Linked DNA regions of Mus musculus: regions 1, 3, 4 and 5 are each reported to be linked to region 2. The links are microRNA targets in miRTarBase. Many come from high-throughput screens and were not tested one by one. Region 2 holds a microRNA gene; each other region holds the end of a gene's coding sequence.
The links. Region 2 holds the annotated microRNA mmu-miR-3066-5p (UUGGUUGCUGUAGAUUAAGUAG, at 2,018-2,039, shown strand). A microRNA usually pairs through its seed, bases 2 to 8, with sites in the 3' UTR of a target mRNA and lowers its output. Matches are read on the target gene's strand: a 7mer-m8 pairs with bases 2 to 8, a 7mer-A1 pairs with bases 2 to 7 and ends in A, and an 8mer does both.

Region 1 (4,121 bases), not on the chromosome of region 2:
GACACGTGAGTGGGGCTGGCGCAGGGTGGAGCAGCACTTAGCTGGGGACTGCAGCTTGCCATGCCTGCCCATTTTTAATTTTAGAAAGAGTCTCCATTTATACAGAATTATTTTGAAACTCCTGGACTGAAGCAGTTGTCAGGCTTTGGAGCAGCTGTGATTATAGACCCCATCATGTGCTGGGGATGAGTCCAGGGCCTCTACTGAGCTAAGCAAGCACATCACTACTATGTTTTCCTTCCTTCCTTCCTTTCTTTCTTGTTTTTGGGTTTTTTTTCTAGTCCGGGTTTCTTTGTACAGCCTTGGCTGTCCTAGAACTCACTCTGTAGACCAGGCTGGCCTGGAACTCAGAAATCTGCCTGTCTCTGCTTCCCAAGTGCTGGGATTAAAGGCGCGCACCACCACTGCCCAGCTTATTATTTTTTAAATCAACATGGAGGAACTATATATTTGATGGTTTGTTAAGGAAGCTGAATTTAGGGCTGGAGAGATGGCTCAGTGGTTAAGAGCTCCCGACTGCTCTTCCGAAGGTCCGGAGTTCAAATCCCAGCAACCACATGGTGGCTCACAACCATCTGCACAGCTACAGTGTACTCATATACATAAAAATTAATAAATCTTTTAAAAAATATATATATAATTAAAAAAAAAAAAGAAAAGTTTCATGCTGGGAAAGGTGGCACTCACCTCCAATACTAACCCTTGGAATGAGGCAGGAGACTGAAGCTTTGAGGTCTGAGAAACTGTACTGAGGTGTCTCAGCATTAGGAAGGGAGAGAACCATTGTAATAAAACAAAAAAGGGGGCTGGTGAGATGGCTCAGTGGTAAGAGCAATGACTGCTCTTTCAAAGGTCCTGTGTTCAAATCCCAGCAACCACATGGTGGCTCACAACCACCTGTAATGAGATCTGACTATATTTATAATAAATCAATCTTTGTGCCTGAGTGAGCAGGGCCAGCTGGAGTGAGGAGGTTGGATCAGAGCCAGCAGAGGTCCTAAATTCAATTCCCAACAACCAGATGGAGGCTCACAACTATCTGTACAGCTACAGTGTGTACTCATATACATAAAATAGTAAACAAATCTTTAAAAAACGAAAAAAAAAGGTTGACTCCACAGCTTTAGGCCAATATGTTCTTCTAAAAGGTGGTTGGTTAATCAGTTGTGGGCAGAAAACCTGTCCCACAGAGGGTGTGACTCCATGTATTGAGGCCAGTTGGTACCTAGAAAGTTCAGCTTTTTGATCCCTGGCATTTTACCAGCCCACATGTGATAGAGCATAATCCCAGCTTGCTGTCTGTGACTTGTGCCAGGCTGAGTGGTATCTTGCTGGGAGCAGAACAGTAGATGGCAGCTACTCACTGTCTCTTTGGTTGCAGGCACAGGAGAACTCTATACCTGGGGCTGGGGTAAGTAAAAAGTTTCCTGATCATTAAATCAAGGGGAAGGACCAGAGAAAATAGAACAGGTCATGACCAAGTTACACAAACTAGAGGGGCAGGGGTCGCAGCCTGAGCAATGGGAGGACTGAAAAAAAAACGCTCTCCCTTGGGTGGGAGAACAGATACACTTAGGAGGCCCAAGGGCAGACATGAGAGAAATAAGATGGCCAGGGTGAAGGAGCTGTTCTCATCTTGATGTAGGTAGCAGAGACTTCTCCGGGGACCCCACAGTTGGCTTGGGCTTAAGTTTTCAGAATCCACACAAGACCCATCAGGCTGTGTATAGCTCTCAAGGCAGTATGTGGGCTGGCATCTTTCTGAGGGGAAAGCAGCAAGGCCTAGAAGAGGAAGGGCTTCCTTTCATTCTAGGTAAATACGGACAGCTTGGCCACAAGGACAGCACCAGCTTGGATCGACCCTGCTGTGTGGAGTACTTTGTAGAAAGACAACTTGAAGTAAGGGCTGTGACATGTGGACCCTGGAATACCTATGTCTATGCAATGGAAAGAGACAAAAGCTGAACTATCCCTTAGTGGATCCCCACTTATGTGCCTGGGTGAGAAAGAACTCTGCTTCAACATGCTGTCCTAGGTGCATGGAAACCTAAGTTTTGAAACAAGGTTCACAGCGATCTCCTCTGCCTTCTAAGTGCTGGGATTAAAGGTGCATGATTTCAGAATAAGACAAAGCTTACAAGGCATGTATGAAAGAATTGAAGATATATATATCTTCAATTTATATTTATATATATATATATAAATAATAAATAAATAATAAATAATAAATAAATAATAATAAATAAATAAAAAATAATAAATAATAAATGTATAAATAATAATATAAATATAAATTGAAGATATATATATCTTCAATTTATATTTATATATATATATAAATATTTTTGTATGTAAATATATACATGTATATGTATATATATCTATATCTAATTTCTGGAGTAGTGCCAGGCCTTCCACGTGCACCAACAGCTTAGCTATACCCAGCCCAGAGGCTTTAATAGCTGCAAAATGAGAAAATATCCCCAAATGAAAAAGAGTAAATCCAAACTATTCTGAGACTCTTGAAACTTCTAAATCCTTTGCACTTCGCCTTTTAGTGAGTTTAATCTATAGATCAAAGCAACCATTGAAGACAAAACAGTGTAGTATTTAAAAGGTAACTATACACATTTTATTTTCATACATTTAAAAACAACATATATGTGTGTGAAGAGCAGACTGACAGGTTTTCAAGATCAGTCAGTGTGGGCAGAACTGGCACAGACAGACAGAATAAATATAGTGCTTTGGGGAAGAGTAGTGATGGGTTTGGAGAGCCTCATTGTGGACGTGATTACACAGATAACTTGTAGATGTGCAAAGTTGCTGACTCCATGACAGGAATGGCCCAGCCCACCAGACAGCCTCTCTATGTGGTTGTCATCTACAGGGAACAGACTGGGCCTAATGAGCACAGGGTTGGGAGACTGGAGAAAAACTCAACAGGTCAGACAAGCATGTGTGTTCACACATATACCTCAAGAAATTGCACTACAGAAATGACTGCTACTCTTTTTGGCAGCAGGTCAGGCCATCTCATACTGGAACTCAAGAAACCCTCACTGGGATAGTGCCAGCCAGGTACACGCCTCTGGGTGACATCAAAGCTTCCATAGCTACAGCATTAATCAAATGTCCGCGAACAAAAATATATATATTTTTAGATGTTACCAGAATTACTTCATGTCTTGTACCCCTGTATGCCAAAGCAGGCCACAATCGTTTTTTCATTTTCTAATATATAGTATTGAAATAAGTAGAATTAAAAAAAAAATTATTTCTGCACACCAGAAGAGGGCATCAGATCCCATTATAGATGGTTGTGAGCCACCATGTGGTTGCTGGGATTTGAACTCAGGACCTCTAGAAGAGCAGTCATAGTAGAATTACGGGGTAGAGAAAAAAAGTTAGCTACCAGATGTTAAAACTTGTACTTAACTATCATAACTAGCCTTTAAGGTCTCTCTTGAATCAAAAGCAAGTCTTTGTGACCTCAGTTCGCCCGGGACAGCTTCCTTCTGTCCTACTCACGTCTGAGTTAGGTGCAGTTAATAGAACCTGCCCAAGGTAGTTTCAAACATCTAAACTGATGGAAATGTATATGTCACTCCTTGTCTACGTATCCGTCAGTCCAGTCCAGGCACAGGAAGCCCCAGCTGCCTAACTGGACAAGGACTCTCAGGACTGGATGTTGGTTGAATTGAGGATTCGAGACGTAGCATCAGATCTGGAAGCCTTTGAAAGTTCTCGCTGTTGAGAAACAAGCACCATTAGTGAGTAGTCAGTCTACACCCCTCGCTTTACACGTGCTCGAGGAGCTTTAGCACAAAGCCGCCAGGGAAGTTCCTGAGTTCCCAGCACTGCTGTGCTAAGGAACCCTAGCACCATTCTGTCAGTCACAAGCACAAGCCTAGCACGTGTGCACATAGCCCATTCCCAGTCCAATCGTAAACTTCACCAAGAGAAACCCCTTACATTTCACATGGTAGTAGTTGTCTGGCCAAGAGAGCAACAAACTTCGGTGCTTTCTCACCCTGCTGGGGATAGAAGCCCAAAGCCTGGCACATGCTAGCAGCTTTGGTTTCTTGACCCCTTTGCATAACAAGGGTCAGGTGACTTAT
Region 2 (4,121 bases):
CAGCCAGTCTCTTAACAGTGATACCTTCAGCCTCTGTTTTTATTTTGAGAAACTGGGAAAGAGAGTTGAGAAGACCTGAGATGTTTGGACACAGTTACTGAGAGCTGGAAGGAACTTAGACCTTTAATTCAGGTCTTCTAGATCCAGAGATACTGAAAGATGGGCCCAGTGCTCTTTGGGGTAGGTCAAGTGGTAGGGTTTTGTTACTATTTGATGTAAACAGGCTCACACTATGCAGCTCTGGCTGTCTTAGACCTGGCTGTGTAGAACAGGTTGGCCTCAAACGCACAGAGATGCCCTTGCCTCCCAAGTGCTGAGATTAAAAATGCATCACCAGGGTTTGGTCCCCAGCACTGAAGAGAAGGAAAGGAGCACGTGTGAATCTGGCCTGACTCTAAACTGAATGTTTCCAAAAGAAGCCAAGAGGCTGCTTAGCTCTGTGACCGGTCACAGCTTGCACATGCCCTGGTCTGATTCCTGTGGATAGTAAATGTCCCTGTCTTGACGTTTCAATCTCCAGGAACAAATTTTATCCAACTTATTTTTAGCCACAAGTCCTAGAGCAGTGACAAAGATGGAGGCAGTGGCAGAAGCCAGAGATGAAAGGCCTAGCTCTACCACCCTAAGCAGACAGCAGTGGATTCCTAAATCCACTTCTATCTCCAAGGAAAGGGCCAGAGTGGAGGTAAACAAGAGGACCCTACACCCAACCACACTGTCCCATAACAGTCACTAGCTGTACAGAGATATTTAAATTAAAAGCAATTACAATCAAAACTTCGGTTCTGGGACTATCAATGTTCATTATTGATGTTCATCATTGATGAAAAGTCTCTAAGATAAAAGTAAAGCCTACCTGGTGGTGGTGGCGGCGGCGGCGCACGCCTTTAATCCCAGCACTTGGGAGGCAGAGGCAGGTAAATCACTGAGTTTGGGGCCAGCCTGGTCTATTAGAGCGGGTTCCTGGACAGCCAGGGTTACGTAGAGAAACCCTGTCTTGAAAAACAAACAACCAACAACAACAAAGTTATCTTTATTTTTCCTCACTGCAATGCAAGCATGGTACATTATATGGCATGCAAACATTATAGAAGAACGTGACGTAAGATGTGAGCATCCCTAGGCAGTTGCTGTGTCTACACTTTCTCTACTCACCATCTCTATGCAGCTGCCTTTAGCTTCACAGAATTGGGATTATATGTACTGTGTTGCAGTCTTCGAACTCACTTCTCTTACCATTTGGGAGCTGCTGAGGTGGCTCAGCCAGTAAGGGTGCTGGCTGAGGAGCCTGAGTTCCATCCCTGGACTCCACGTGGTGGACAGAGAGAACCAACTGCACGGCACACATTGGGAGTCTGTTATTGGTGCTGCGGCTCTGCTCATCTTTGTGTGCACCATGTTTCCTGGTGGGGGTTACCACCGTTTATTTAAGCAAGGCCCTATCAGTGGAGCCTGTTTGCTTTTAATCTTTGGCCGTGTGTGACACAAGGTGCAGTGACATTCTTCCTGTAGCTGTTATGCTTGTGGCTGGGTTTCTGTAGTCCTAGTGGTGTAAAATGAAATACAGTTTCAAGGTGAATTTCTGTCACATACCTTACATGTATTGGACATTATCAGGGAAGTTGACTGACACAAATATTAAGCATCCTTTTTTGTCTTGTCAAGCTGTTTGATTGTTTCTGTCTTCTTCGCTGGATTACTGTGACTCTTCTAAGGTATTTTAATTTCATTCTCTGTGGTTCTTTGATTTGAGGATAATTATCTTACCTCAGGACAGAAAGAGCACAAAGCAGTTGTATAAGGTGTGGCTATGCAACTTTGGTTTTGCATCATGCTAATTTTTTTTATAGGAACATATAAGCCTCGGGTCCGGTGTTATGACACATATCAGTTATCCCTGAAGTTTGAAAGGTGCTTGGATTCTGAAGGTAAGAGGCCAACCCTGAGTTCATAAATAGCTTTTCATAATTGTCTATTGTACTGCTCTTTAAAATGGGAGTGAGTAGTGTGGTATGTTTTGGTTGCTGTAGATTAAGTAGTTTAATATGATGCTGCACTTAATAGACCGCAACCTGCACTGGCCATGCTCTGGGCTGCGCACAGGGCTTCTCTCAGGGGATCTGCCAGGTGGGCTCTTACCTTTAAGGCTGGTCTAGAGTAGGCTTCCAGCCTCACAAAGGTATGGCTATGGGACTATGGGTCTGGAAGGTAGTGTCTCCCTTCTTGCTGGGTCTCAGCTGGACTCCATTTGCTTTATAAGGCTGCCAGCATTTTTTAAAAAAATCTTATGTGTATGGGTATTTTGCCTGCATATCTGTGCACTATGCATGTGCCTGATACCATAGTAGGCCAGAAGAGGGCATCTGATCCACATAGACTGGAGTTACAGATGTGGTGCATGTGGGTGCTGGGACTTGCTCGAACCTGGGTGTTCTGGAACAAATGCTTTTAACCACCGAGTCCTATCTCCCTCCCCGAGAGACTTCTTCTTTTAAGAGGTTCATGTGATTAAACAAATCTTCCCTTGGTCATATTGTATAATGGAACCTCAGGGAGCATCTACTCTCAGCAGGGGCCTGGTGCCCTGTGAAGGTCACAGGGGGCATTTTGAGAATTCTGTCTAATACAGACAGCAAGGTAAAATGGCAAGGGTCAGTTATTATCAGTTAACCAGTGTTTTAGGAACAATGGGAGAGAAGTAAATGGGATACAGCGCTGTGTAGAATAACCAGCATACCTTCCTAGTCTCACCCTTGCTGCTAGAGAACATAGAAACTTTGTATGCTATTAATAACACATCTTTTACAATGTTTTTGTGTAGAGGTAAACTTGGTATAGGCGAAGAGTTACTGTTGCCTTCTTTCTTTCTTTCTTTTTTTTTTTTTTTGTTTGTTTGTTTGTTTGAGACAGGATTTCTCTTTGCAGTCATGGCAGGTTCAGAACTCATTATCTAGACCAGACTGGCCTTAGACTCGCAGAGGTCTTTCTTTCTCTCCCAAGTGCTAGGAGTAAAGTCCTGCACCACCACAGGAACACCCAGCCTGGGGTCCCATTTTAAAGGCTGCTGTTTAGATTATATTTCAAAATCTTAAAACTACTAAGAACATCTCAGCAAAATTATGGCAAAAATGTTTAGGATCATCCTAAATTTACTTTAGTTCTGTTAAAAAAAAATCTAGATGTAAGTAATAACTTTCCATTTAGTATTAGTGGGGATGTTCTTCTTGTTGCATGGAGAGGTAGGACAAACACAGCAATTATATATAATTATTCACCAGTTAAACCAGTTAAGAGGGCTGGGGAGATGTCTCGGTGGTTAAGAGCACTGATTGCTCTTCCAGTGGTCCTGAGTTCAATTCCCAGTAACCACATGGGTGCGCAAAACCATCTGTCTGATGCCCTCTTCTGGTGTATCTGAAGAGAGCAATGGTGAATACATTTAAAACAAAAACAATTAGAATCCTCACCTGAAGTTTGTGGTTTTGTTTAAACACTGGTTGATAATTGTGGTTTTTTTTTTTTCCTATTTTTCAGTTGTCACCTTTGAGATTTTATCAGATGACTATTCAAAGGTATGTTTTATAGCATATTTACTTTTTATTTTTATTTATATGCACGTGTGTGTCTTTGACAGTGAACGCCGTGCATGTGCAGTTGCCCTTGGAAGCCAGAGGGGGCATCAGATCCTCAGGGGATTGTGAGCTGCTGATCTGATCCCAGGTTCTCTGAAAGAACAGCAAGTGCTCTTAACTGCTGAACTGTGTCTCTGGCTCTGGGACTTATTTTTGTAGTAAATATTTTTAAGATAATTCCCAGCGATAAAAAAAAAAAATCACTGTGTAATAATAGGTAATATATCATTTTCTGTCATTTTTCGGCCAAGTACATGTATGATGTACAGTATCTTTAAAAAAAGAAAAACAAAACACTGGGAGTGAACTTTTGCTCACCCTAACGTCAAGTTGGTTGTCAGTGTCTCCAGGCCTCACCTTTATTCTAAGGGATTGGTAGCAGTCACCCTTTGTTAGGTACCTTATGGTCGCGATCTGTGGTTCTGATTACTGATGTTAGCCTAGGCATGTTTGCCTTCGTCTCCTTATTTATACAAGATAAGGAAGCCA
Region 3 (4,121 bases), not on the chromosome of region 2:
AGGCCTTTCCTGCGGCATCCAGGTCCTCAGGTCCTGACATTTCCACTCAGCTGATTCAGAGGAACAAGTCTAGGCACCAGGACTGTTCTGGTCATCTAGCTGTGCACAGAACAGGCCCTGCTACAATAAGAGGAAATGCCTACACGTAACAGACCATGCCGCACCAGACCATGCCGCGCCTCTGCACTACAAAGCTGGAAAGATATTTGAGAACATGCAATAGCTGCTATCCTCACAACCACTTCTTAGATTTTTCAACTCCAGTATCTGGAGATGCATAGACACACACACACAGACAGACACAAATATACACACACAGGTTTATAGACAGGCACAGAAAGACATACAGACACACACAGAGACATCCTTTTTTTTTTTTTTTATAAACATAGTGATCTGGTTTCAGAAAGTGGCGACTCTTTTTTTTTTTCCTTAAGATTTATTTATTATATTTGGGTACACTGTAGCTGTTTTCAAACACACTGTAGGCTGTTTTCAAACACACCAGAAGAGGGCATAGGATCCCATTACAGAGGGTTGTGAGTCACGGTGTGGTTGCTGGGATTTGAACTCAGGACCTTCGGAAGGGCAGTCAGTGCTCTTAACTGCTGAGTCATCTCTCCAGCCCCATAAACAGACACATACACACACAGAGGCACAGACAGACACACAGAGAGAGATACACAAATACACACACAGACTCATACACACAGGCCACATCTTTTATCTAAAATCTTCACAAAGGGAATAATGTGTTTCATAAAACATTTAAAATGCTTTAGGCAACAGAACTCTCTTGAAACCTCCCTCCCCCAAGTGTTTAACAGACAAATGTAATTGGAAATGTTTGGAACATGAGCACCCACACTCTTTAATTTGGAATTATGCAAAATGTGATCATTATCCACTCCAAGCTGAAGCAATGCTGTGCAGCTGGAAGAGCAAGCCTGTGAACTATCAGGTGTGAGTTCAAGTCCTGCTCATCTGGGCCAGGGTAACCCTTACGGTCTGACCCTGGAAGGTCTGTTTAGAGGAAGTGGCCTTGCATGTTTTACATTTGAGAAGCTATTTAGCTGCGCTGTTTGACAAGATTTTTGAGAGGGATGAAAATTAATTATACTTGCAGTATTGCAATGCTGATTTGGTCAACTAATTAGATTCTATGAAAAAACAGGCAAGAAGAATTGGTTCCGCTGGGCCTTCTGTGATGTGGCAGCCCCTCATTCCAAGACTAATGAGATTGCTTCTTGGTGTTTTGTTTTATTTTGTTTTGTTTGGCCAAACCTTAAATATCTGGAATTCTACAATTGAGCTAATTTAAGGCTTCGTGTGAAATAAGACATCATGTCTGGGGACACAGCTCCGTTCCTCCACAGACTTGAACTGGGTTCTAGCTCTCCTTCAAAAATTATTAGAGGCCTCCCCTGACTTGTTTGGCCTTGTTTTAACTTGGGGCACCAGTGAGACATGGGTAAGTTTAGGCAGGACATTTGGCAAGCTTAATACCACCACTCACTAAGGAGCCCGTGTCCCTGGAAGAGGCACCGTGAACCTCCAGGGAAGGGCAAACGTTTGTGTGAAGTGACCGGTCTAATCTCAAAGCTTTCACACAAGCAGTTCTGTATGTGGGAACTGCCTGATGCTTTCTGAGACAAGGATCTAACTTCAGAGCAGCAGCGAGCACCCAGAGTTAAAAATCTTCTTCTAGGCAGAGTCCGCTCATTGCTTTATCATCTTAAAGAGTCTCTCCAAGGTCTAATTCAAGGTCATTTCTGCCTCATGCTAGCAATAACAGACATCCGGCTCATCCACAGCCTGATCAAGTTCCATTCAGTGGGAAGCTCTGGGACAATTTTCTCCTTCTCTGTCTTACTTAAGTCCAACCACCCGTGTATATGTAACAAAGATCTTGCAGGGTCATGTCACACTCCCACAAACAGGGAACATCAAAGTGGGCCCTTATAGCACAGCATGGAGTATGTCCTGTGCTCTTTACCTAAATTCTACCTGATTGGTACAATAGGTAGATCCATCTGAGAGACCGCATTTATCTTGTTACAGTCCAGGACGTCTGGCTACACTTGCCAGCTGAGATCTTGCTCAGACTGCAGCCTGAGGGAAGGTGCCTTTCTAAAATTCATACTATTGTCAAGGGAGACCCTAGGTTATCCTTGACCCTCACCTTCCCCAGATGTGCCTTTAAGGAAAAGGCTGTGCCCATGAGTTCTCTATTCATCGAGAATAAACAAAGGGGGAGGGATTCCATAAAGAATAGGCAGTAAAGAGGTCACCCTTCTGCCTAGGAAACCCTGGCTCCACCCCCCTCTCTGGACACAGCTGCAAAGGGTAGAAAATCAATTTTTTCCCATTACTTCACAGTGAAGAGTAAAAACCTATTTGTAAATTGAATTAAACCCAATAAAAACACGTCTGCGTATTTGTTGAAGACTAGAAAAATTAGCCACAGACACACAGCTAAGAACGCAGCCATGAAACTAGAAATCAGTATGTCCTATTTCAAACTTTGTCGAGACAGTTCCCGCCCCCCGCCTTTTTTTCAAGAAATACCCATAGCTAAATGTCACCAAGATTCTTCAGCATGCCGTCATATCAGAGCCTCAGTGAGACTCTGGGAGAGAAGGGACACCAGTCTTTGTTTAGGCAGATGGCTGCTTCGGAATTTGTACCGAGTAAGTCAGTAAGTAATGGATATGAGCTGGACCCCGCCTGACAGAGCCTGATTTCTTCCCAAGTGGCAATCTGGGGTGCTCAATGTGGACTTCATTCCCTGTCCCTGTGCAAGCGAGGTCTTGCTTATAAAAACCCTACCCCGGCCACGCAGTCTGTGCATCCCGAAACCTCGTTAGCAGTCTGCCCTCTAGTGGAGCAAGGAAGGACTTCAGTAGCTAGGGCTCCAAAACATCCTTTCCCTTTTCTCTTCGAGAGCGGAAAACAAAAACAAAAACAAACAAACGGACAAAAAAACAGCAACAAAAATTCAAGTTTTCCAGATAGTGCAAGGCGAGGTGGTCATCAGAAGACAACTTCCAGGGCTGAGTCCAGGGAAACTCATGCTGATCGGTCCCAAGAACAGGGAGCAGTTGCCACCGCCACTGGGGGCGTCCCCACAGCCCCTGCAGGGACTTTGTGAGCCCCCTCCAGGGCTCTCCTTGTGTGACAGCATTCAGTTATCCACTCTGTCGCGGCACAAATAGCACCCGTAAAGAGTGACCAGCACGTCAGGAACACTGTAATAGCCTTTTTGTGATTTTTCTGACAAGTCTAGCACACGGTTGAGTGTCTGAAAGGGGCCACTAGGAATATTAGAAAAGGCAAGGATGCACACGTTCTATAAGAAGACACAGTCGTTGTGGCTGCGACGTTTAAGAGGACAGTCTACTCATGATGTTGGCCGGATGCTGGTCTGGCAGAAGTAACCTGGAGATGTGGGGCTTTGTTTCCAACTCTTTAGAATTTAGCTTGCTTTAGCTTGTCAATGTGATAGCAGAGTTTCAGTGCGGGTCCCAGCTTCAGTCCCAGGTACTTCATGATCATGTCGCTCCTCAGCAACAACAAGGCATTGCCATCAATCTCCTGGAGAGAAGGGAAAGCCAAAGGACAGTCAGAGCAGCCAAACGGTAGTTATGGCCCCGTGGGTGCCCCGCGGGTGCTCCAGGGGCACTTTAAGGACAGGTGAGTAGATTAGAGCGCGCATACTACTTGTTCTGGGAAAGCTCTTGGAAACAAAGCAAGCAACTACGAGGCCCTCGTCTTCCCAGCCCCTCCGGAAACTCAGTTGCTACCTTGCACCTTTCAGATTCCTGCCCTTGTTTGATTGAAGCAGACAGTTTCGCCTGCATTCCTACTATCTCATGTATATGTCATCTATCCAGGTAAAGACAGAGAGAGCCACAGACAGGTCAGCCTGAGGAGGACCAGGGTCGATGATCCTGGCTTTAAAGAGGGTCGTGAAGCTGAGAAAGGCAGGCAAGCAGATTGTCCCTAGAACACCTAGACACGAATTTATCCCTGCCAACGCCTGAGATCCAGGCAGGCTCCAGACCCACAGAAATAGAGATAAGAGATGTCTCTTGTCTAAAGACCCTGGATTTGTAGCAATT
Region 4 (4,120 bases), not on the chromosome of region 2:
GGAGATAGAGAAGGGGACCGGGGTAACATGGTCCTCTTACAAGCTCCCAGGCCACCCACACCTGGTGGCAGCTCAGGTAGCAATGGAGGCAGGTGATGACCTAAGCTGTTGCTAGGTCTCTGTTGTTAGGTCCCTGGGAGGAAACCAGAATCACCTGTAAGCCAATAGTGTCCTTGGCTTCCTTCCCACAGGCTGGTGACATGGCTCCCTGATATCCAGGATGATATCCAGTGGCTACAATGGGCGACATCCCAGGTTTGTGCCCGAATGACGATGTGCCTGCTCCCCTCTACCAGGTAAATACTTGGGCCCAGGGTGTGTGGGCCAGATAGGCATCCCTCCCGGTTGTTCCCAGAGCTCTTAGGGTCAGAGCTTGGGTGGTGACAGCCTTAACAAGCCAGGCTCAGCCGCCTGTCCCCAGCATGCCATTAAAGAAACCGGTAGCAGAGAAAGCAGGTTTATTCGAATATAAAAAGGTTCAAGCCCCCACCCGGTTAATCTTTAAGATACCAACAGGAGGCTTAAGTTTAAACAGAGTTACACATAAACAGTCTGAATCAGGGCGTGGTCCTGCCCACCATTGTCTGGGCTTCAAGGTTCCTTCTTTCTCTCCCTAGCATGAGATTCCTGGGACAATCCCAATTCCTTGGCCTCCATTGTATCAAAGGGCTGAAAACCAAAGGGAAGGCACAGCTGTCTCTTCAGCATGCCTCTTCTGCCAGAACCACTGCAAGGTTTGGTGCTCAGGCTGTGCAAACATTCTAGCAATGTTTGACTCAGTGTCAAGCAGGTGACAAGGAACATGGTGCTGTGTGGGGGGAACCCATGGCCCAGGTGAGGGCTTATTGGTGGGTGAAGCTGTGGGTGTTCAGGTGGTGGAGAAGGCCTTAAGGGATGGGACTGACACCTCAGCACTGAAGGCAGGAGGAAGCTGTGGCTCTGGGTTGCACCCCTGCCTGGCTCCACCCTCTCTGGCATCTGTAGAAGTTACAGCTGGTTCTTCCTCTCAGCCCCATGCTCCCAGAAATAAGACTCAGACCCAAATTATAGTTACAAATACCTTGGCCATATAGCTAGGCTCTTCTCAGACTAGCTCATAACTTAACTCATTAATTTTAACCTCCATCCTGCCACATGGCTGGTGGCCTGTGCTCAGGTACCATGAGTCCAGCTCTTCACATCTTTCCGGATGAATCTTCCATAATTCTTTCTGCCTCCTGGATGTTCCACCTTCTATTCCACCTTTTCCTATAGGCCATGGTTTTGTTTTTGTTTTTTTTTTCCAAATTTAATTTAATTAATTAATTTATTTATTTTTGGTTTTTCGAGACAGGGTTTCTCTGTATCGCCCTGGCTGTCCTGGAACTCACTATGTAAGCCAGGCTGGCCTCAAACTCAGAAATCCGCCTGCCTCTGCCTCCTGAGTGCTGGGATTAAAGGCGTGCGCAACCATGCCCGGTGTGGTTTTTTTTTTTTTTTAATTGACAGGTGGATGCATCTATATAATCCATAACATATTCTCTCTACAGGTATCTATTAGGTTTTGGGTGAGGTGTGGAGTTCTAGGGAACTCTGAGAGAAATTCCTGGGGAGTAAGTGGTTTATCAAGTTGATTGGAGGAGTTTTTAATGCTATGGACAGACAGACAGAAGGACAACAGCATAGTCGGGGCTACCAGGGAGTTCAGGCCCCGGCATCGGAGATAGAAGCAGGATGGGGTCTTTGAAGAGATTCTGAGCCCACACAGCAGAGGAGGGACTCTCTCTTTAGAGCTTTTGAGGATGAGGGAGGTTGACTGCAAGAGCCTACAGCCAGGCTCGAGGCAGGCAGGGGGTGGGGAGCAGGATGTAAACCCCTTCGATGCTGACAGACTCACTTCTGGGGTAAAATATTATGAGATGCCTGTCAGTGTCTGTGAAGAGACCTGAGCAGAGTCTGGATTCTGACATCAATCATGTTCTTACAATACTGAAGACCTGAGAGCCTGCAATCTTGGTTTGTAAATTGCTGGTCTCCGTGCTTCCAGTGAACTTGGACATTCTTCTCATGGTTGGTCCAGGAGAGGCCAAAGCTGAGGGCACCCTGCCTTCCACCCCCAGTCCAGCTTGACCTTTTATCTGGAGCAACAGTGTCTAGATGATGGGTGGGTGAGGGGTGCTATACTGTCTGTCCCTCTGGGAAGGGTTCTGTTACTTTTGGAGGCAGCTAGGAAGTTTCTCTGTGCAGCTGCCCCCTGGTGCTGTGTGGTGACCTCATTGCCTGTGACCCCAGGATCACAGGATCTGGGCTAAAGTGGTAGTCCATAGAAACCAAAGACAATGATTTGGTGTTTAGAAAGCTACTCTTGGTCTGGGTGAAGTCTGGTGCTTAAGGGCTATCACAAAGAGCGTGTCAAACCATCTCTCAGCCTGTGAGTCAGTGGGGAGCCCAAGGGCATCAGTGTTTGGAAACTGGAATCCAAACCGGGCAATCTCGGAAGGAAACTGTTTAGGAATTGTGATGGGACGGGCCGTGGCTGTCTCTGAAAAGGGCCTGCCAGATAACTTATTACTTTTAAGGACACCTTTGGCTCTTACTAATTTATAAAGCATTTTATATAAACACACCAGGGAGTGCATGGTGAACTACACGTATGATCAGTTAAGTGGGGCTAGAATTAGGTAGGGAGAGCATCGGACCTCTGCCTCCTCAACCTCAACTTGCTTGCTTTCTCCACTGGCTCCAAATCTTTGTATAGTCATCAGCCATGACCACCTCTCTCCCTCCCCATCTACTACCAGCAGCGTTAATGGGAATAAGTACCCACTTCTCTCAGGTGTACTATACAGCTGTGGGTGTGGTGTGTGTTTCCTGTAATTCACACTTTAGAAAGGAAACAAGCAAACAAAAGAAACCAGGTGCTGCCCATACTCCTAAGTGTAGACAGTGAAGGTGTGTGTCTCCCATGCCTGAGTCTCCTGGAGGCCTAGTGAGCTCCAGGTTCATGCAAGCACATCAGGAGGAATCATATAATCTCAGCACGGTTGATCCAGATGGGATAAGAAAGGACTCTGGGAGAGAGAATGTGGTTCTAGAGACAAAGTGTCTAGGCTACACAGAAGATAAGACTGTCCCAAGGAAAGAAAAGAAACCAGGAACTAGGGTGCAGCTCAGTTGTCAGAGGACTTCTCTAGGCTTGAAGCCCAGAGTCCAATCTCAGCACCTTATAAACTGTGGAGTGACAGGCAGTGACATCGGCCTGTAATCCCAACACTCAAGCAGTAGAGGCAAGAGGATCATAAGTTCAAGGTCTTCCTTGGCTATTTAGGGAGTTGGAGGTTAGCTCTGGCTACATGAGACCCTGTCTCAAAAAAAAAAAAAAAAAAAAGTAGAAACTTCTGCCTTGCTTTGAGCTGCCCCTTTCTGGACGTTTCTCATCAGTAGAGAATATTCCTGCCACCCTATCAGACAAAACTCCCACTGGTTTGGAGTCTCTCCATTCTCAGGAACACCTCAGGAGTCAGACAGTGAGCAGCAGGGAGCAATGTCTTGACTTGTAAGCCCCTTAGCAAGGCTGGTTCATTTGTTTATTAAAAGCAGGTGTGGGTGAATTTATGCAAATGAGTATGCAAACTAGTGGAACAGCAGAAGGATTGAATGGATACACCAAAAATAACCACAACTGTTTAAGGGAAAAGGGTCCATAATAAATGTGGGGAACAAAAAACAAATAAATGTGATTTTTTTTAGAAAAATGTATTCTCTGTCTCTTCTGCCTCTCCTACAACTAAAAGGGCCTGTGGGACAGCTTCCTCTATAAGTTTGTGTTCTTCCCTGTAGGCGTGCAGGCTGAATGTCCTCCACACTGCAAAATGACTGGGTTGGTGCTGTATAGCCCCGGCTGGTCTGGAACTATGTAGTTCAGGCTCACCTGCTTTTTCCATTCTCCTGCCTCAGCCTTCCCAGTACCATGTTCACACACAACCACATCAGCTTGGAATGTGCATTTCTAGGAAGCGTTGGGAAAGGACAATGGCATAGTCTCCAGAACCACTGAGGGAAAAGTCTGGAGCAAATAACTGTGACAAAGGGCTGGGTGCGCATGTGACTCTCTCTGGCCACAGGTGAGGCCAGCCCTGAA
Region 5 (4,121 bases), not on the chromosome of region 2:
GGAGTAGTGTTTTCTGCAAGAGGTAGGCTACTGATGATAGGGAAATGGTGGTGGGAACAGGGAAGCATCTAGCATGAGAGTAAGAACTTCAGGAAAGCAGGTTTCCAAGGACACAGCCAGGCTTTAGCTGCTTTGGGGGGTAAAAAAAAGAAATGCCTTAGTAGTTAAAACTGACAAAATGAACATTTTGGAAAGGCAAAGGCTCTTTTGAAACATTTTCTGAATTCTTCTATTGTAATGCATTGCATATACTATTTATATTATGTACAAATAATTTGCATTTTAAACAAAACTTTTAAATGCTTTTTTAAAGTATAAATCAACATGTTTTTTTTTTTTTTCCATTTTTTATTAGGTATTTAGCTCATTTACATTTCCAATGCTATACCAAAAGTCCCCCTTACCCACCCACCCCCACTCCCCTACCCACCCACTCCCCCACTTTGGCCCTGGCGTTCCCCTGTACCGGGGCACACAAAGTCTGCGTGTCCAATGGGCCTCTCTTTCCAGTGATGGCCGACTAGGCCATAATCAACATGTTTTTTAAACCACATTAGTTTTATATTTTTCTTACCTATGTTTTTTGCATCTCTATACTTTCTTATATGACTTGTTTTTCTCTTTCAGGAGTCATATGAACGAGCAAAACATATCTTGAAAACACATGCGAAAGAACATAAGAACCTGGCAGAAGCATTGCTGACCTATGAGACTTTGGATGCCAAAGAGATTCAAATTGTTCTTGAGGGAAAGAAATTGGAAGTGAGATGATAACTCTGTTGATATTGCTGGTTTTATTACAAGAATATACTTAGTCCTGCAGTCTCCTTTGCAACATTTTTCAACCCCCACTCCTGACTTGGTATATAATTCAAGGATGTGAAACACTTTGTCAATCTTCTGTCCCATTATTTGATTTTGGTTATTCCTGTGATGATACCATTGGAGATTAGTAACTCATAGCAAATACGTGAAAGGATAAATAAAGAACTGTCAGGATTAAAGAAAGACATTGAAAAATGTCAATCAATCATGTTGAAAGCAAGCAATCATTTTGTGGGTAATTACTCCAAGTGAGTAAAAATTGTGCCTTTATCTATTGGTAAGGTTTTTTTTTTTTTTTTTTTTTTTTGGAAGGTAAATTTGAAAAGCTACCATCTCCTGATAGTAACATTTCTCTGTGGGGAAAACAATGCTGTGGATAAATCATTTCTACTTACATTAGTAGAAATGCCATTGAGATGTACTTAATTATGTTCTTGATTGACCTTGTAAAATGGCCTTTAAAAGAAACTATTTGAATTGTAAATATGACGATATACTCAGAATTTAAATGATTGTAATGGATTAAAAATGCAGCATGTATGCCCATTTTTTCAAATATTACTATCTCACTGACAAGATTTGTTTCAGAACAACAATATTTTATGAAGTAAACAAGTAACATTATATTCTGAATATCTGTATAATTACATTGAATCTCAAAATCAAAATGAAACCAAAAACTCAATTCCTTTCAAAAATGATCTTTCTCTGTCGCCTTGTCAGAATTGGAAGGCTTGTTCCATCTGCACATTATAGGGTTTACAAGGTAATTTCATATTCAGATCAGTAGACCATAGTGTGAGTGCATTTTATTGGTGTTACAACCAAGTTACATTCTTGAAGGAACTATTAAAATTACATTGTTTTCTTATTGAGGATGTTCATGGTCCTTATTAAAGAAGATAGATATAATTAAAGGGACCTTGTTACATGATATTTTGACCTTTTTTAATGTTAAATTTTTGATACACACAAATTTCACAATTTCAAAGTGAAAAATGTTGATAGAGCTCCATTATATTGATTAAGACCAACAGGTTTTAATTTTCACTGCTTTTTGCTGTCTCCATTGTCACTCATGTTCATGTGTTTGTTCTTTCTCTCTTGTGCCCTCATTCTCTACATATTCATGCATACACATATGGAAAAACATCGGTGTTTTATCTAACCTGACTTCAGACATTTTTACAGTCCCATAGAGCTGTAATTTTCATGTTATAAAACATATCCATTGTAAATATAGATACCAAAGACCCCCCCACCCCCTTTTTAAAATTGTGTAATTACCTCAATTAGGTTTTAGGACAATTTTTTTCAAGCCTTCAAAATTCAAAGTGACTACACAGTTTTGTATCTTGTATTATGTAAAGTTTCAGCTTCATCACTATTCAACATAAAAGTGCTGTTTCACTATCGACATCCAAATTGAATCCCAGTCTCAGTAAATTATATAGCAAGTTTACTGTGGCTTTTGAGTTTAGTTGGTTTTATTGCTTCTACTTTGTGTGTATGCAAAGACTTTAATAACCAAGTGTAGATATAATTAGCTGGAGAATTTTCTGCTCTGTATGTCTGGTAAACCTAGGATATTTCATGAAGTGATTATCAACGTCCTCTGGGTTTCTCATATCACAGAAAGATCACACTGATTGTATCTTGCAGAGTAGCCAACAGTTTTAGGCTAGTAAGCGGCTGATCATTGCGATCCGATTTAGTCAGTACTACATCAAGGCAGCTGAGTTCTCTGGTGAAATGAGGATAAGCCTTTTTTATATTTTTCTTGGGGTGGGTTCTTTTGTTGTTTGCTTGTTTTTTGTTGTTTGTTTAGTTTGGAGTCCTTTCCAGAAAGTTCTGTTTTGTAGCCTAGGCTAGCCTCCAACTGACATCCTTCCACCTGAGCCTCTGGGTGCATCATTCTTGGCACACATATCTTATTTACAGGGTCTTTCTTCACCCTGGTTTGAACTTGGGACTAGGAGCTGCCCTGAGTTGGCAGGACCACCAAAGAATCATGTTCTGGGTTAAATTTAGTGATTTTCATGAAGAAACAAGTCATACTTTTTTGTAGGTCTCTTGTTAATTCCTGGAGTCATAGAATGGTTGGTTGTTTTGGTTTCGTTGAGGTTTGTAGTTGACTCTTTTCAAATAAAAATGAATTTATCCTGATATATTTTATCACATTCCAACTGAAGCATTTTAAGGAGAGTGAATTTAGAAAAGAATTTTAAGCTTTTTTGAGCTCATATTCAATGCCATCCAAATGCCTGAATTGAATTATGAGAATTGGTCTCTCCTGTTTCTATCTCCCAGCATGAACACCCACTTAAATCATTCATTGTATGTGAAAATACCTTGACGTGTATCAAGCAAGCCTGGTTGCAGCATCCTAAGTTGGGAATGATAGAAAGACAGCTGTGCATTACTTAGGTTACACTTGCCCACATCTCAACAGCAGAGCATGAAGATACATGCTCTCCGTGGGGACAAAGGAAGAAAGTACAGAATCCGGTTTCAGACTCTAATACTGGGCTTGCACAGATCCCCACGGACACTTTCCCGTGGTGACAGTGAGATGGTGACTGACTGTAATGGCCATCAGCTCAGAGTAACCTATAGCAACAGGTATGCCTCAGCCCTCGGCAGTCTTGATTCCGTTCCCTCTGAATGCCACATCCAGCCACGGTAGTTCTAGGTTTAGAGTTCTTCTGCAGCTCCAGTGATCGTGACCTTAAGAATCTTAACAGAAGACCTGGGGAGGCTTACTATGGAATGCCATTTTGCAAAGTTAGGCTACAGAGGTTGGATTCAGCACAGCTTCAGTGAGCAGGCAGTAGGCCAGAAACAATTAGAAAAATAGCAAATCAAGATGCAAGTCAAGGTACTACTAGATAAAAGGGGAAATTTTAACTGTCAGTGGCAAAGAATATATAGCACCCCTTTTGAAAATATAAACCTCAAGGTAGTAATTTTGAAGTTAGAGCAATTTAATAGATTTAAGTAATTTTTTTAATCTTTTGAGTTTATACATACTGTGAGTGAAGCATAAAATGGTGGTAGAGAGCAGTAGCAATAAAATTGTGAGAAATTAACACAGCAACAAAAAAGCCCCCTAACAAATGAAAATGAAAAAAAATCAGGAGCCAGTGAAAGGACTCAAGTGTAAAGCATTTGCTGCTGGGACTGATGACATTAAGCCATACACATGGTACAAGCAGAGAACCAACTGTTCTTGTAGGGGTTTGTTTTATCAAGTTGACACAAACTAGAGTCAACTGGAAAGAGGGGCCTCAAGTTAT

Region 1: miRTarBase lists Prc1 as a target of mmu-miR-3066-5p. Seed matches in the 3' UTR shown: 7mer-m8 at 3,336-3,342.
Region 3: the mRNA of Scml4 is a reported target of mmu-miR-3066-5p. Seed matches in the 3' UTR shown: 7mer-m8 at 553-559.
Region 4: miRTarBase lists Pnpla3 as a target of mmu-miR-3066-5p. Seed matches in the 3' UTR shown: 7mer-m8 at 1,446-1,452.
Region 5: miRTarBase lists Yme1l1 as a target of mmu-miR-3066-5p. Seed matches in the 3' UTR shown: 7mer-A1 at 1,647-1,653.

The regions. Positions count from the first base shown.
Region 1 is chr7:80,314,743-80,318,863 of GRCm38, reverse strand. It overlaps Prc1 (protein regulator of cytokinesis 1), which reads right to left. Exons shown (of 15, transcript NM_001374624.1): 15 at 2,605-3,750. The coding sequence ends at 3,679. Rccd1 (RCC1 domain containing 1) reads left to right here. Exons shown (of 9, transcript NM_173445.4): 7 at 1-5; 8 at 1,382-1,411; 9 at 1,814-2,248. The coding sequence ends at 1,965. Among named protein-coding and RNA genes, the nearest start is that of Rccd1, 7.7 kb to the left of the region's middle.
Region 2 is chr12:17,353,387-17,357,507 of GRCm38, forward strand. It overlaps Mir3066 (microRNA 3066), which reads left to right and starts at 2,006; the gene lies at 2,006-2,088. It overlaps Nol10 (nucleolar protein 10), which reads left to right. Exons shown (of 21, transcript NM_001008421.1): 4 at 1,851-1,928; 5 at 3,535-3,572.
Region 3 is chr10:42,957,092-42,961,212 of GRCm38, reverse strand. Scml4 (Scm polycomb group protein like 4) reads right to left here. Exons shown (of 9, transcript NM_172938.3): 9 at 431-3,594. The coding sequence ends at 3,469. Among named protein-coding and RNA genes, the nearest start is that of Gm5079, 32 kb to the left of the region's middle.
Region 4 is chr15:84,185,786-84,189,905 of GRCm38, forward strand. Pnpla3 (patatin-like phospholipase domain containing 3) reads left to right here. Exons shown (of 8, transcript NM_054088.3): 8 at 192-3,736. The coding sequence ends at 300. Among named protein-coding and RNA genes, the nearest start is that of Samm50, 4.4 kb to the right of the region's middle.
Region 5 is chr2:23,196,261-23,200,381 of GRCm38, forward strand. It overlaps Yme1l1 (YME1-like 1 (S. cerevisiae)), which reads left to right. Exons shown (of 19, transcript NM_013771.5): 19 at 628-3,000. The coding sequence ends at 771. Among named protein-coding and RNA genes, the nearest start is that of Potegl, 9.2 kb to the right of the region's middle.